2 linked regions of the Rattus norvegicus genome follow. The protein of the gene in region 2 interacts with the protein of the main gene of each other region in a pairwise test. Links are inferred from orthologs where the notes say so. Each region holds a gene or a part of one and is shown on either strand. Other genes may lie near its edges.

Region 1 (8,701 bases), on a different chromosome or scaffold from region 2:
TGGTGAATTCCAGGAATGCGTTCTACCATTGAGCCTCACCCACAACTAATCCATGATGAATTCTAAGCAGCAAGCCCCACTAAGCCACGCCCCCAGCCGCTTTCTAGTGAGTTCCAGGCTTAGGCACAGCAGCTGAGCCACTGGTGAATTCTAAGCTTGCCTGCTAAACTATAGCCCGTGGCTTTATGAGGCAGAGACTCAGCTAGGATCTTTTTTTGTTTTTTTTCCGGACCGAATCCAGGGCCTTGCGCTTGCTAGGCAAGCGCTCGACCACTGAGCTAAATCCCCAACCCCCAGCTAGGATCTTAATATATAGTCCAGGCTGGCTTCAATCTCATAATTCTCCTGCCCCAGCCCTGTGCTGGCACAACAGGACCGTGCCCACATGACCTGCTCCAAGATTCTGAATTTACTCTGCTAAGCTTGGCCCTGTCTCTCTAGAACATTCCAGGATGACGGTTAACTCCATCCACACCCTTACTGTTGGGACAGGTTGAGTTGGTGTTAGGTTCTGATCGCCTTCAGGATTATCTTTTCCAAGTCCCCACCCCACACCCCACACCTCAACTATTCAAGGGGTCTCCAGGAGGGAGCAACGGAGATTAGAACGGGAATCGGGGATCAGGCTGGAGAAGGTGGAAGCTGGTCAGGGTATGACCAGAACAGTTGGGATAAACATATAACGTATGACAAGTAAGATTGGCAGACCATTGCTGGGCAGTCTGTGTGGCATGTGAGGCAGAGAGAAAAGTCTAGAACAATGCCCCTGTTCCGAGCAGACAAATGTTATCTGTAAGTTATGAAAGATGCTGGGCATAGTGTTGGTGTCACAGAGGCCCAGAGGCTGTCATCTCAGTACCAGGGAGGCTGAGGTAGAAAGCAGTCCGTGGCTAGCAAGACTCTCAAAAAGGGGGAGGGATTACGGGTAAATGGAGAACCTACAGGATCCTGTTAAATGACAGGCCAGTTAGCGTCTCATGACCCAGGGTCTAACTAGCTTCCAAATCCTGCAGGTCATGCGCTGGGACGGCTCCATGTTCCGTCTGCTGCAGCAACTTCCATCTCGAGGCTCCCATGTCTTCCAGCCACTACTAATTGCCAGCGACCAGTTGGCCATTCTGGGCAGCGACTTCGCCTTCAGCCAAGTCTTCCGCTTTGAGCCCGATAAAGGGATCCTGGAGCCACTACAGGAGCTGGGCCCACCGGCCTTGGTGGCCCCCCGAGCCTTTGGCCAAGTCACTGTAGCAGGAAGACGCTTTTTATTCGCAGCGTGCTTCAAGGGGCCCACGCAGATCTACCAGCACCATGAGTTGGATCTCAGTGCCTGAGGCTGGGAAAGACCCTGGAAGTGGCTATGGGACTGGCAAGGGCATTCTGGGACATCTGGGTAACCTCTCTGGGCTGGCCTCCTGGATGTCACAGACAGTCCTGGGTGATACAGACCACAAGCCAAGTGCATCAGCCTGAGTTAGGCTTAGTCCACTTTTCGGAGGATCTGTACCTAAGGGGCAAGTGGGAGGTCTCTTTACTCCCAACTATGTTTAGGGCCCCTCCAGTCTGAAGCCACATTTGGGCTGAGGACAGATGCTCCCATGCACAACATCTTGGGAGTTCCTCCTGGAACACAACTTGGAGCTGGGATACAGAAACTAAAAGGGCAATCTGCTGAGCTCCAAGAGGTTTGGACACCCCGCCCTCAACGTCCCCTTGGTCCTGCTGCATATAAAGAACCGAGAGAGAGCATTAGTTCCACTCAAACCCTATCTGGCCATTGGTTTCGTGGAGTATGCGTCTCTGTGACGTCACAGTTGCTGGGCAGTTTCTTGGCCTGGTACTCTGCTGCCTGTGCGCATGCCTGGTACTTTGCTGCCCGTGCGCATGTCTATTTCCGAAGACTGATTGCTTTTACACGTGTGCAGTAAAAGTGAAGCAGCGAAGATGAAGTCTAGAGGCGTCACAGAGAGCACTGGGTACCTTTTTCCAGAATGTGACAGGGGCAAGAACAGGGAGTGTATGAATTCAATAAATGCCCCGCGCACCCAACCTGCCCGCTCTGTGGTCTCAAGGCGGGAGCCTCTTGTTGAGTGGCAGGTGAAAACCCTGGATGGGATCTTGGGCAGGAATTTTGGTTTGAAAGGTTTTAGGCATTTTCTGTGATTGCACTTAGATTCTGGAGGCTCTGATGGATACTGAGGAGCCTCAAGAGAGCTGGGGGTCAGTGGAGGATCTCACAGTGTGGCCACTGCTGGACTATCGGCGGTGTTCTGAGAAATTACAGGTCTCACAGGTGAATGGAAGGGTCTCATGATAAAGTGGGGTCATCTCAACTGCAGGGGTGGGGACAGCTAAATATCGGGGTGGCCCCAATATGGTGTGATGACCCCACGGTGTAGTTTTTCGCAATGTCACCCAGTGTCCCTACACTGCGTGAGATTAGGGCTCTTTTTCACTCCCGCAAGTGTCCCTCGTTTGCCACTAGAACTTAAGTGGCACAGGAGGCTGCCCATGGAGGGAAAGGGCAAATCTCATGCCCACCATAAGGCCATGACGTGCAGGTCTAAGCATGATTCAGCCATCAGCTCCTGCTCATTAACCTGCCCCATCGAGGCCCCAAGGTCCACCCCAGCATCTGCTCACCTCCTCGCTGCCGGCAGCCACACTCCAAGCTCCACACAGAGTCTCTGGCTCGCCTGAGCATGACGTAAAATCATTTTATATTAACAACTGAACAAAGAACCTGCTACCATGAGATGAGGCTCGGGGAAGGCAGTGTCAGGAGAGGAGGAGCCCAGACATCTTGGAGTTCAAGCCCATCTCCAGAGACAGGACCTGCACTTTTTTAACTGATCCATCCTCAGCAGTTGTGAGCAGAGCCTGGTAGAGGGAATGGAGTCAGTTTGCAAGCATCTCCCCTTTCCTTCTCCCTGACTCAGGCACGCTCCCACTCCAGCTTCCACTAGTGACCATTACCCCCACGTGTCACCCCCAATCATCCTGTGTCATACCTGGTGTGATGAGGGGTGGCCCATCTCCTGGACGGTGGCTAAGGAAATAAACGGAATAATATGTAAATAAATCCTCTCCTATTTATCCTCTCTCTCAGGGGCTAAAGGAGTCTCGGGTTGCCCAGACAGTTTCTTGGTTGATTTCCCACTGTACGTTTATGCAAAGCTAAGTGTACCAGTAAGGACCACAGCTTTCTCGGGATGATTTGCCATGGATAAGCCCAGGAGACACCGGGGCAGAGCACCCAGGCCTGAGCACTTTGCACAAGGCTTAGCCTTATTTATTTATTTATTTATTTATTTATTTATTTATTTATTTATTTATTTATTTATTTATTTTGGAGCTGAGGACCTAACCCAGGGCCTTTCGCTTGCTAGGCAAGCGTTCTATCACTGAGCTAAATCCCCAACCCACAGCTTAGCCTTTTTTTGAGCATGCCCAGAACCCATCTCACCTGGGTTTCTGGCTGAACTTGCATTTGCACTTGCCACCTGTTGGAAAGAGGCGTGGTCAGGGGAAAGAACAGGAAACCCCTTCCCTGCTCACTCCCTCCCAGAGCTCCCAAGTACTCACTCATGAGAACTATAATGCCCAGGGCACAGAGAATCCCTGCACAGATGAGCCCGCCGACTCGGAGGCTGTGCCAATCTGAGAGGGAGACAAAGGGGACCTCAAAGGTAGCCCAATTCCTTCCCCTATCTCCCAACTCACTTGACAGCAGTAAAACAGAAAAGCAAAACCCAGCCCCACTGTGCAACTATTGCAGTTCATATCCAAGCGAACAAGATATCACGTGTCCACCCAGGGGCAGAGAAGCCATCTGAGGGAAAGGATCAGTATGGAGGATAGGAAGTCAAGAGGCTGGGTCTTTAGAACGAGTGGTCAGGCAAGGGCTCTCTGAGGAGATCCGCAGGAAGGCAGAGCTGGCCCTGAAGGCATGGAAGAAAATGGTGCAGGATGAAGGAGTAGTAGATGCTAAAATCCTGAGCTGAAACAGGCGTGAGGACCAATAGAGAAAGAGAGGGGACGGGCAAGGGGCAGCTCCTGATGGAAGCTGGAGGATTGGGGTATAGAATTCCCTTTCTTCTCTGGGAAGATTTTCATGTCTAGCTTTCTGGTGGTTGATCTGAAACTAACGTCTCCTGTGGACTGGACTCAGGTCGTGTCTGTGCCTGTCTTGTATTTCTCCTCAAAGCTGATAACTTTCACCTACCTGGGAGCTCAGTGCCGACTCAAACCCTCTCCTATCCTCACCCCTGGGTCACTGTGAACTGTCAGTCATCCTCCCGTGGGACCCTTGGCACAAATACTGTGCAAGACGGGAAAGAAGTGAAGAGAAGACTCCGTTCTTACCATAGTAGAAAGGGCTATCTTTATCTGCAAAGAGAAAAAACACATACATGAATCTAAGACAGTAGGGGACTTGGGAAAGTGGGGTGGAGGATGGGCTCTGGCTCACCTTCAGGGTCATTGGCATCCAAAGTAGGCAGGCCTGTGGGGACAAAAAGTAAAGGTTATGACTAAGGTGGCTTTAGCAGAGCCCTCAGCAGGATCCATGGAGGTTCATTGCCTGTGAGAAATGCTCTGTGGGGGAACAGCCCCACCTCACAGTGCACAGGATCTAACCTCTGGCTAGTCCTACCTGGACATGCACCTTCATGGAGATATGGGCTCCCACCCCTATCTCTGAAACACTGCACTGGAAACAGTGTTTCTAGCCTCCGGGCTGGGCCACGCCTCCCGCAGGAGAAGCCTTGCTTTTCAAGGCAGCAGATGGCTCCTGTTCCAGTGTCTGTTTCTTTCACAGGAGCGCTGCTCACAAAATGCCTTGCTGGCCCCACCACAGCTACGCCCCACAGGTATTGTGTCTTCTGACCTCTCCCCCTTTGAAATGACTCAGTCAGCCAGTTGAATGCAGGTCCACGTCCCTTTCCAAACAGAAGGCTACTTGGGCCCAAAAATGGTAAAGTAAAAAGTGGTCTAAATGGGTGGGGGGCTCTGGAGAGAGGTGACTCTGTGGTTAAGAGCAACGACTGCTCTTGCAGAGGACCCAGGTTCAGTTCCCAGCAACCACATGATGGTTCACAACCATCTGTAACTCCACTTCCAGGGGATCTGACGCCCCCTTCTGGCCTCCACAGTTACCAAGCACAGACTTGCAGGCAAAACAATCATACACATAAAGAATTTGAAAAGAAAAAAAGGTGGCTTGCTCCTAAGGAACCACACCCAAAGTTACCCTCTGGCAGCCACATGCATAAGCATGCACACACATGCAAAGCTGCACACACAAGAACACACACAGTCATACACACACGAAGAAGAGGTTAAGGAAGGAGAAAAGCATGGCAAGAGCAAGGAGGAAGAGCTCAATTCTGGCTGAAAGCTCATCTGGCTTCATTCCGGGTCTGAGTTCTGCTAAAGGGAGGAAAACAATGCTTAGTTATACTCAGGCACACATGCTTGGGGCCAGCTCCACCCAGGCCTCGGTGATCGCTGTTCAAACATTAACTCATTTAAGCCTCACAAAGCCCCTATGACTAGGTGACATTCTTCTCTGTGTTTCACAGATGGGGAAACAGAGGCACGAGGTACTCAGGTTACCTGTTATGTCACCGCTAGCCTCTCAGTTGCTTGTGGGACGGCAGCGTGGGGAGGCCATGACACATAGCACAACAGTACTACAGAGAGAGAGAGAGAGAGAGAGAGAGAGAGAGAGAGAGAGAGGAGAGATGAGAGATAGGAGACAGAACGAGAGACTGAGAGACTGAGAGAGTGAGAGAGCGAGAGAGAGAGAAAGCGAGAGAGCAAGAGAGTGAGAATTTGAGAGAGAGAGAGAGAGAGAGAGAGAGAGGAGAGAGAGAGCAAGAGAGTGAGAATTCAAACGAGAGAGCAAGGGGAGGGAGGGAGGGAGGGGGGAGGGAGAGAGAGAGAGAGAGAGAGAGAGAGAGAGAGAGAGAGAGAGAGAGAGCGCTTGTCTCTGCCCAGCTGAGAGGCCCTGGGAAAGGGCATTTTGGGGCCAGACACTCACCTGCTAGAAGGACCAACAGGCTCAGAGCAAACTCTTGCATGTCAGCGTTGACCTGAGGAGTCCAGAGAACAGGCCAACCTTAGCAGGGCACCCAGGATGTAAAGCTTTGTACTTCTGTCCCACCTGCTGCTTGCTCTCCGGGAGCACAGCCCAGGGTACACACAGGAAGGCTGGCGGTGAACCTGAAGCTCACTGGCTGGGAGATAAGAAGCCTCAAAGTCAAGTGGGGGTTGGGTGAGCACTCAGGCTCCATGAAGGAAGAGGTCCTGTGTGCCATGTTCCTGGCAGTGATATTAGGCTTACTGTGAATAGATTTTTCCCTGAAGAGAGGAGGTAGAACAGTGCTTTGCTATGTCCAGGCTAGCCTTGAATTTGCCATCCCCCTGCCTCAGCTGTCCAAGAGCTAGGATTATAGGTGGGCACCATCAAATCCTGCTTATTAGCCCCATCTTACAGATGGGAAAACTGAGGCTCTGAGACATGAAAGTTGATGTCCAGGATGACTTAGTCCAGAGAACAGGATTTAAACAATGCCTCTTTCCCAACTAGCTGTTCCTAACTCAGAAAGAACTGTGAAGGGCCTCGGGGTGTTTTGGGGAAGAGGGTGCCAGGAGCCAGGTGGCAAGAGGCCCGGGTTCTGGGAGTGGCTCCCACAGACAGCTTGGAGCCTGCCCGGCTCTGCCCACACACTGCAGGCTTCTAGCTGAGGCCTGAGCTGACTCCCTGGGCTGCTGGGTGCGGGTGCGTGTAACAGGGAAATAGTGTCAGGCTGATGGGATAGATACAGAGAGTCCTGGATGTGGCCTTATCTCCATCTTCTGTCCTACCCCTGGGTCTGTCCCTTGAGACCCCACTGAGCCCTCTCTGCAGTCCCACTGAGAGCTCTCTGCATGCCCCACTGAGCATTCTCTGAGTCCCAGCTCATGTCCAGTCTTTGCCCCCACACCACAGCCCTCACCCTGCTCAGCCTGTGCTCACTCCCCATCCCAGCCCTGCTGGCAGCAAACACTACAGGTTCCCCAGCGAGGCTCACTCCACATAGAGCCCCTTTCCATACAGCCTGAGCCGCGACCTGCTGTCTTTCCATCACCCTGGAGGGCTGTAGTAAAAGTCCTGCTGTCTGTGGACCTCCCGTGCTTGCCTCACTCAACTGTCCTGAGCTCATGGGCACATGCATGTGCCAGTTCGTGTACACACACACACACACACACACACACACACACACACACACTCTTAATCTCCTAGCCCTTGGAGAGCTGAGGCAGGGGGATGGCAAATTCAAGGTCAGCCTGGACATAGCAAAACACTGTTCTACCTCCTCTCTTCAAGGAAAAATCTGTTCACAGTAAGCCTACTATCACTGCCAGGAACATGGCACACAGGATCTGTTCCTTCATGGAGCCTGAGTGGCAAATCCTAACACTTGTCCCCACTGCCCATTTGCTGGACACTGTCCAGTGACTTTATAGTGACTCCTCTCTTTAATCCCCAGCAACCCCAAGGTCACCCTTCAGAACTAACCCTTTTCACTCATACCAAAGCACACACTTAGAAGGGAAAATGGAGCCACCAGCCACCTATGGTGCAGGGGAGTTCCACATGCTCACACAGACACCTCCATTTCCCTGGGGCAGATCCCAGAGGCTGAGAAATCCTTCAGCTTCTTCATTAATCTAAATCAGTGCAGGCTTAACTCAAGCTACTAGGGAAGCTGAGGCAGAAGAAATTCTACTTCAAAGTCAACCTGGGATACAGGCTAAGTGCAAGGCCAGACTGAACAATTTAGTGAGATATTGTCACAAAAGAAAAAGTTTAAAAAAAAAAAAAAGGAGATGCAGCTCAGTGGTAGAGCCCCTGCTTAGAATCCCCCAGTAAGGGGCTGGGGGCGTGGCTCAGTGGTAGAGCCCCTGCCTAGAATCCCCCAGTGAGGGACTAGCGATGGAGTCTTGCTTAGCCTGCTCTTCAGGCCCTGAACACACACACTCTCTCTCTCTCTCTCTCTCTCTCTCTCTCTCTCTCTCTCTCTCTCTCTCTGTCACACACACACACACACACATACACACACACACACACACACGAATGCACCCATGTGTGCACACCCTGGACCCATTAGTTTAAATTAGACATATTTCTTGTCATTGATTTGGGAACTATTTCTCAGATGTCTGGGGCCCCAGCAAGCTTTGGAGAACTCAAGTGGTGGTTAGGGGCACAGGCTATGGATTTCTGTGCTCTGAGGCTGGCTGCCTCCTGATTCTGTCACCCATGCATATAAAACACCAGCCTTGACAGAGGGCTCCTGCTGAGTGCCCCACCTGTGCAGCCATTTTTCTCAATCGGAGCCGACTCCCTCGTACTGTCCTTATCCCACACGGCCCTCACCTGGCAATTCATCCTAATGCTGCATGCTCTGTCAGCATGGCTGCTGGGTCTCACCTCTACACTTCTCCCTCCAGACTCCTCCAAGGCCTCCAAAGGACCACATTACCACAAAACCTTCCAAAATTTGGGAACCTGGACAAGGGCAGGGGAAGACAGATGGTTCATCTGCAGCCCTTCCTTCCTTCCTCTGCCGTCTGGACCCTGTCATCCCTAGGGCTGGGAGGGGGGCCGGAAACAGCCCTCTCTCCTCACTGTCCTACCCTGCTGGTGCTGTGCTCTGAA
Region 2 (7,916 bases):
AGGCAAGTGCCAGTCTGTGTGGCCGCCATCTTGTAAGGTCTGGAGATCTTGCTGGTGACCAGAGTCTGGAGTTTCTGCAGCTGCTGGAGCAGGGTCCTAAGGAAGGTACAGGAGTCACCATGGGGGCTTAGGCACAGTAGCCATGTCTGCATCCTGGCCCCTCCTGAGGAGCCTTGGTTGGCTCCTGACTGGGTCTTCATTCTTTGGTGCCCATTGTAGTCAAGATATAAAAGGTCACCTTCTGCAGCCTGGCTTGGTTATTTGGGACCTGCCTCATGGTAGGAAGTTGGGTCATCCTGTAGAATCTTAGGGGTGCCTAACTCTTACTCCTGACTCTTCTCAGAAAATGCTGGATTTTTTTCCTATCCAGTACAGTCACAGAGACATTGACTCTCCTCTTTTGCACCCCACAGCACCCTGATTCCACAAGACACTTGGCGAGGTGTGGAGTGCAGTCAGTAAATGGGTCATTGTTTACGCTAATTTATAGCTGTTTTACCATTACCACAACACCTGTAACACGTTAGCTTTATTTGTGGGCTTCCATGGTAGTCTCAGTTGCTAACTGAAGGCAAGAACTAGGTACTACCCAGCACGGAATCCTTTGGGAACACACACTTGTTAACAGTTAATACTGCACTTCTCCACCCAGCTGTGTGTGTTATGCAGTTCCCGAAGTGGACAGCAGGTGGCGGAATAGTCTTAAAACAGATTTTTTTAAGGGTAGCGAGGTGAAGATTGAAGGCTCCGCCCCTACCCTGATTCCTGCCTGAGAAGCTGGGTCTGAGAACGGAAAGGAGAAAATATGGATGCCTGGATACATAGCGAGTTCAGGACTGAGCTACAATCAGAAAAACCCTGTTTCCAAAAAGTGGACGCTCGGGTTAGGCTAGGTGGTGCATACTTAGAAGAAGCCTTGCATTGGGCCAGGCCGTCAGAGGGGAAGGAGAATCAGGAGTCCAAGGATAGCTTCAGCCACATAATGAGTTTATGGTCAACCTGGCTACGTGAGAACAGTTTCGAGAGTAACAGGGGCAGTGAGATGGCTTAGCGCCTACAGGTACTTGTCAGCAAGCCTGCTAGCCCAAGTCCCATCCCTGGTACCTACAGGGTGGAAAGGGAGAACTGACTACTGTAATTTGCCATCTAGCCTGCACAGGAACATGGTGCGCGCGCGCGCACACACACACACACACACACACACACACACACACACACACGCTCAATAAATAAACTTAACTAAAAACTTACAAAAAATGCAAACAGACAAAAAGGGAGCCTAGCATAGTGGAAGGTGTTTGTGGTGTGTACAAGGTCCTAGGTTCAATCCTCAGCATGGCTAGGAGACAGTGTCTTGTGTTAGGATTCCACTAGATACTGTTGTTTGTGTTATTGTACTTACTCCTAGAAAACAGTGTGGCTTCATAGCTCAGGGCACTATCTAGAATCAACAGTATTATCAACGGGGCGAAATCAACAAGCAGGCGTTCTTTAATGCCACAGGCCGTGTTGGTTTGGGTTGTCTGTGTTGGTTTGGGTTGCTATGTCTTTTTTTTTTCTTCTTTTCTTCTTTTTTTTTTGGAGCTGGGGACCGAACCCAGGGCCTTGCGCTTGCTAGGCAAGCGCTCTACCATTGAGCTAAATCCCCAACCCCTGGGTTGCTATATCTTATAGAGCCTCACACCAGTCCTGTTAGCCAGTGCTGGTGTCACATCACCGTCACCAAGAATATTGAGGCTCAGAGAGCCTGGCCAGAAACAGTAGAGTCATAGACAATAGCAGACTGGACCCAGAACCCAGAGCCCAAATCTGTGGTTTGATGCTACAAGCCAGATCCCAGGCTGGTTTCCTGAAACTAATGTTTCTCAGACTCAACGCAATGGCGGCATCCAGGGCATTGTCAAAATGCAGTTTGGGAGCTGGATTGATGGCTTAGCAGGTACAGTGCTATTGACCCAGCATGAGGATCTGAATTTGGAACCCCAACACCCATGTAAAAAAGCCAGGCACGAACCGGGCAGGGTGGCACACGCCTTTAATGCCAGCACTCAGGATGCAGAGGTGGCTGGATCTCTGTGAGTTCGAGGCCACCCTGGTCTGAATTAGTAACTTCCAGGACTGCCACAGCTATATAATAGAAAGACCCTGTCTTAAAAAAAAAAAGAAGAAAAAGAAAAAAGAAAGAGAAAGGAAGGAAAGAAAGAAGGAAGGTAGGCAGGTAGGCTGCGTGTGGTTGCTCTAACTCTGGTGTGTTGGGGGAGGGGGCAGTGGACACGGGACACAGATCCAGCCTAGTCAGCCAACCGGTGAGTGTCAGATTCAGAGAAAGATCCTGTTTCAAATGATAAGGTGAAGAACATCCAGTGTCTTAACTCTGCTGTGTGCACGCACGCACGCACGCACGCACGCACGCACGTTCTGGCCCAGCAATCTTAGAAAAGTCCTGAAATTTCTGATTTCTCACGAGTTCTCAGGCCGTATGGGGAACTGGCTTTGAGTAGCAAAGGTTCTGGCTATCAGATTTAGTAGTGTGGGACCTGCTCTAGGGACATAACTAAAGCATTGATTGCAGTGGCTGACGAACGGCTCAAGGGTAAGGAGCACTGGCCACTCTTCCAGAGGATCTGGGTTCAGTTCCCAGCATCCATAGCTTATAACCATCTGGAGCTCTAGTTTCAGGGGATCCAACACCCTCTTGTGGCCTCCATGGGCATTGCATGCACATGGTGCACAGACACACACACACAGGCAAAACAGTCATGCACATAAAGCAACCAACCAACGCTGGCGGCAGCCAGGTGCAGGGACACACGCCTGAGCCCTACTACTTAGGAGGAAGAGGTAGAGAAATCAGGAGTCCTAGGCTTTCCTCAGCTACTTAGCAAGTCTGAAGCCAGCCTGGATTTTATGAGGGTCTCTCAAAACAAAATAAAATCTACAGGTTGCTGGTCCCCACCTCTGCAGTAAATGACTCAATAGACCTGGCTCTGGGTCTGAGAAGCACATCTTTCTCTCTCTTTCTCTTTGTTTGAGGCAGAGCCTATCTGTGCTGTCCTGCCTAACCTGGAGCTCCCTAGGTAGGTACCCCAGGCTGGCCTTGAACTTACTGCTTCGTTTGCCTCCCGAGTGCTAGAATGAAAGGCATGCACGATCGTGACTGGGAAGAGAGAACACACATTTCTCACAAGCTGGGAGGCAACGCGGAGGCTGAGGAGCACACCTGGAAAGTTTCTGCCCTGTAGTCTTCCTCGAGCATCTTACCGGCCTGTCAGGAGTCTAGAGTTATGTGCAGTCAGGGACACCCGGGAAGCCAGGGACTGGCAGGACATCTGAGCTCCCAGGTTGTGGGGTACACTTTGGGGTATCTCTTTTCTCTCCTGCCTCCCAGAGCCAGCTGCTGCCTTTAGCGGGCAGGTGGGACACAGGGTACCACTCACCTGTTGGCAGTCTCTAGGGTTTCCACCTTCTTCCACAGTTCATTGTTCTCTGATGTATATGTCTCCACCCTGGAAGGGCAAGCAGACGCAGGCTCAGGGAGTCCCCACAGGCTCATGTGTCCCACAGCCATCCCACTGCTGCAGCCAGGCCTCTGGCTGGGGTCCCGGCCTTAACATGACACTTACTTCTTCTCTAGACACTCCACATACTCCTTCTTTTTGCGGCGGCTCTCCTGGGCAGAGATCTGAGGAGGAAGTTCCAAAAGAGGGGTTACCATGGCCATGTATCCCCTTCCTAGGCATCCCCAATTTCAAAGCTGACATCACCAGAGGGCAGGGGCTCCCTTCAGTGGAAATGTCCCCATAGTCCTAGGGTAAGGATGGCTCCAGTCTTACCTTGTTCTTAATTTTCCTGCGCACTCTCTTCAGGGCCTTCTCCTCAGCCTTGGTGAGGGGGAGTTTGGTGGGGATGGGATAACCCTCGGCGATCAAAGTTCGCTTCTCCTCTTCTGTCAAGAGCAGTGGCCCTGATGTCCCCTGCAGTTTCTGAAGAAAGCAGACAATTCTGGGTTCAAACTCGAGCACTACTGTGTACTCTCTACATATTCAACTCTCTGACCCCGGTTTCCTCCTTGGAAAAGGGGAGGAATCTGAGTTAGGTCCAGTAACGTGTGTCAAGTGTTACAATGGTTTTGGGAGGACCCTTCATCTATCCTAACCTAGAATCAAGTCTCAAAGTTCATTTACCTAGGGTCCCCTAGACAGCACCCACCTCAGGTCCTTTCCCACAGTTCCAATTAGGAGGAACCATGACCTCCTCAGGGTTCAGAGTCTCCTCCATTTTGCTCCCCAGAAGTGCTCCTTGGATATAGCCTAGGTTACTCGCCAGGGCTCAGGAAGGTCAGATTCTCATCTTGGTTCCATACCAGTGTTTCATCTAGGCCCTATTGGACCTTGTCTCTTTCCTTTGATTTCTATTCATCTTGAGGCAGAATTGAAACACGCCCCTTACCTGTCAAACGGGCACCTCCCTGAATCTGGTGGGATAAGTATCAGACTTGGGGCTCCCTGACCCTCTTCACTGGTCAGGGAACTGGGTGAACCTACTCATTACCTCACCTCTGGGGTCAGCCCATCCCTAGGTGCTTACGTGAGGGGCAGTGAGGAGCGGAGAGGTGGAAATGGCCGTGGAGGAGCGGGCCATGGGCCGGACAGGGCTGGAGGGGGGAAGAGAGCGGGGACTCTGGGAGCCGTCACTGTCACTGCCATGGCTGCTGGGGGGTGTTGGAGGCATCTGTACGAGGTCCTCTGCAAAAAGTAGAGGACTGGGTTAGTAGGGCTGTACTCCATCTCTGCTCTAACATCATGAGAACGCCGAACACAGGCTGGACCAGCCCTGTCACTGCAGAAAATGTACCGAGAGGCCCTTGACCTGCGCTGGAATATCAGATGCCGTGTTAAAAAGACACCTGGCACCCACAAGGATGTTCACTGAGTGCTACCTCTGTGATGGGTTATATATGCTTGGCCCAGGGAGTGGCACTATTAGGAGCCATGGCCCTGTTGGAATGGGTGTGGCCTTGCTGGAGTAGGTGTGTCACTGTGAGCATAGGTTTAAGACCCTCTTCCTAGCTGCCTGAAAGTCAATCTCCTAGAGGTCTTCGGATGAAGATGTAGGCCTCTCAGCCCCCCCTGCACCATGCCTGCCTGGATGCTGCAATGCTCCTGCCTTGATGATAATGGACTGAACCTCTGATCCTGTAAGCCGGCCCCAATTAAATGTTGTTCTTATAAAAGTTGTGTTGGTTATGGTGTCTATTCACAGCAGTAAAACCCTGACTAAGACAGACTTATCTCTGCTGGGGCAGAGGAATTCCCCTGCCACCTTGGGGAGGAGCCTCTGGGCTGCAAGCTTCCCTACCCACAGGATTCAGGTTTCTAAAGTCCCAGTTCTGTAAGTCCAGAGGGGACTAAGGTCAAACCAGACCCATGGGGCTCAGGCTGACCAATGTCCTTCCATTTCCTTTCTCTGAGTCAACAGTATGGGTCCAGTCTCAGGGTAATAGGGTGAGTGGTAATGAGTGGATGTGTGGTGGAGTGACAGATTCATTGATGAATGGACAGGTGATAGATGGATAGAAAGATGGGTGGATGGATGGATGATGGATGGACAGTGGGTGAATGGGTAAGTGGGTGAATGGGTAAATAGTTGAGTAGGGGAGGGCTGGAGAGATGGCTCATGGTTTAGAGCACTGACTGCTCTCCCAGAGGTCCTGAGTTCAAATCCCAGCATCCACATGGTGGCTCACAACCATCTGTAATGAGATCTGGTGCCCTCTTCTGGTGTGTCTGAGGACAACTACAGTGTACTTATATAAATAAAAATTAATAAAAATAAAAAATAACAGTTGAGGCTGGGGATTTAGCTCAGTGGTAGAGCGCTTGCCTAGGAAGCGCAAGGCCCTGGGTTCGGTCCCCAGCTCTGAAAAAAAAGAACCAAAAAAAAAAAAAAAAGGGCTGGAGAGATGGCTCAGTGGTTAAGAGCACCCGACTGCTCTTCCAGAGGTCATGAGTTCAATTCCCAGCAACCACATGGTGGCTCACAACCATCTGTAAAGAGATCCGATGCCCTCTTCTGGTGTATCTGAAGACAGCTACAGTGTACTTATATATAATAAATAAATAAATCTTTAAAAAAAATAAATAAATAACAGTTGAGTAGGGGGTGGATGGATGGGTATATGGATGGAAGAAAAGACGTGTGGTGGCTATAAAGTGTGTTTTCCGCTGTGGAGTGGATGGAAGGAGGCCAGAAGAAATGGAAGAAGGAGAGGGGATGTGATAGACAAGGAGCGAGAGATTGAGAAGGTGAGAGCATTTGGGGGGAAGCCGGAGTTTTGAAGAACAGGGGTGGTCTAGATGGAGGGAGTAGGATGCCGTCTGTCTGTCCATGATCAGGAGTCTCTCTCATGTACACACTTACCTTGTGTCACTTTGAGAAACTGGCTCATTTCCGGGGGCTCTGCTTTGATCACTGGCAGCTGAGTCATTTCTCCTGGGGCCTGAGGAAGAGACAGATTCATCTTCTCAATCACCTGCCCCTGGGACAATCCCCATCAAGCGTTCACTCTCTTCCCTCCCTTAGGCTGGAGGTTTGCCCTGCATAGAGGAATGGCTGGCCTCAGGAGTTCTGGGATCAGTTCAGCAAGAACAGAGAGGCAAGTCCTCATCTTGGGAAAGCCATACAACAGCGAAGATCAGAGAGAATGGTGGCTGCACACTGTAGGTCTGAACTGAGTCTCAGGAAGGGAGAGTTCCTACGGTATCCAGGGCCGTGCCACCTTCCAGGTAGAGGCTGACCCTTCGCTGTGAAAGCCATGTAGGCCTTGGTATGTGGTTGCCATGAGCACAGGAGGTCATGTTAGTCCCACTGTAGCTGTTGGATGAATGGGATCAATAGTTCAGGAGGAATTAATTGGCCACAGCTCAAAGAAAGCTGCCGGAGCTGAAAGGTCATGTGGATCCTGGGTTACAAATGGGAGTGGAGCCCAGTCCAGGAAGCTTGCAGCAGTGAGAACCCTTGAGGGGCGTCAAGTTAGGCCTGGGTACAATCAGATGTACATTCTTTAAAAAGTATTTAAATTCCAAAGTGATGTTCTAGTTATGGCTTCAGGAACATGTGTGGTTTTGTACATGTGGATTTCACCAGCATGCATGTAAGTGGTGGTCTATGAGAAAGCATGGCTCTTGGGACTGTCTCTCCCCACTGGGTCTGCTGCCAGCAGAGGGGTCCAGGAACTTGGCCATTCCCTGGTCTTCACTCAGCTCAATGGCAGCACTATGGGACCTGAGGGGACCTGAGGGGAGTGTGGAGTGGTGGCAGCCCTTTGGGGGTTCAGGTAGTTACAGCCTGTCTTCTGTGTCCTACACTGGCAGAATGGGAGTCCTCCGCTCTAGGGTCTGACAGGCCAAGCTCAGCTGCATGATTTAGGGCTTAATCCCAGAATCCTGTTTCATTTTCTACTGCAGCCCCTTCTTCCTTCTGATTTTGGCCGCACTCGATCTAGAGTCTCTGGGGATCAAGCTGGTCATTAGTCCTTGACCTTGAGGACAGGGAAGGGTGGCCTTTCTTCCTTATGCCCACCTACTCTGAAGAGGTAACCTGGGTGGCCAGCAAACTCCCAGGCTAGAGATTAGTACTTATTTACTTTTATTTTTTAAATTCTATTTATTTAATGTATGAGTGCTCTGCTGCATATACATCTACTGGCCAGAAGAGGGCATCAGATCCCCTTATATAGATGGTTGTGAGCCACCCTGTGGTTGCTGGGATTTGAACTCAGGACCCCTGGAAGAGCAGCCAGTGCTCTTAGCCGCTGAGCCATCTCACGTTCCCTAGTGTTTATTTTTTTAAACTATAGGATTTTAGGCCGCGTGACTTGCACCTACTTGACAAAGAAGGAAGCTGAAGTAAAAAGA

What was found.
Region 1: the proteins of Creb3l1 (region 2) and Fxyd3 interact in binary tests that used the Homo sapiens proteins (3 or more experiments, as listed by UniProt). The two-hybrid records come from large-scale screens. The link is inferred for Rattus norvegicus from reciprocal best matches to the Homo sapiens genes CREB3L1 and FXYD3.

What each region holds. Positions count from the first base shown.
Region 1 is NC_086019.1:95,430,221-95,438,921, forward strand, and holds the end of Fxyd3 (FXYD domain-containing ion transport regulator 3 precursor), read right to left. Parts: intron 6,234-8,701; exon of another isoform or gene 6,090-6,233; 5' UTR 6,078-6,089; coding exon 6,038-6,077; intron 4,499-6,037; coding exon 4,466-4,498; intron 4,384-4,465; coding exon 4,360-4,383; intron 3,655-4,359; coding exon 3,580-3,654; intron 3,498-3,579; coding exon 3,461-3,497; intron 3,077-3,460; exon of another isoform or gene 3,044-3,076; coding exon 3,006-3,043; coding exon of another isoform or gene 2,980-3,005; exon of another isoform or gene 2,875-2,979; coding exon 2,855-2,874; 3' UTR 2,698-2,854; downstream 1-2,697. Other genes in the region: Lgi4 (leucine-rich repeat LGI family member 4 precursor), read left to right, coding at 1,014-1,328. UniProt on the Homo sapiens protein: Associates with and regulates the activity of the sodium/potassium-transporting ATPase (NKA) which transports Na(+) out of the cell and K(+) into the cell.
Region 2 is NC_086021.1:98,412,661-98,420,576, forward strand, and holds part of Creb3l1 (cyclic AMP-responsive element-binding protein 3-like protein 1), read right to left. Parts: intron 6,500-7,916; coding exon 6,421-6,499; intron 4,746-6,420; coding exon 4,588-4,745; intron 3,984-4,587; coding exon 3,834-3,983; intron 3,683-3,833; coding exon 3,624-3,682; intron 3,507-3,623; coding exon 3,438-3,506; intron 97-3,437; coding exon 1-96.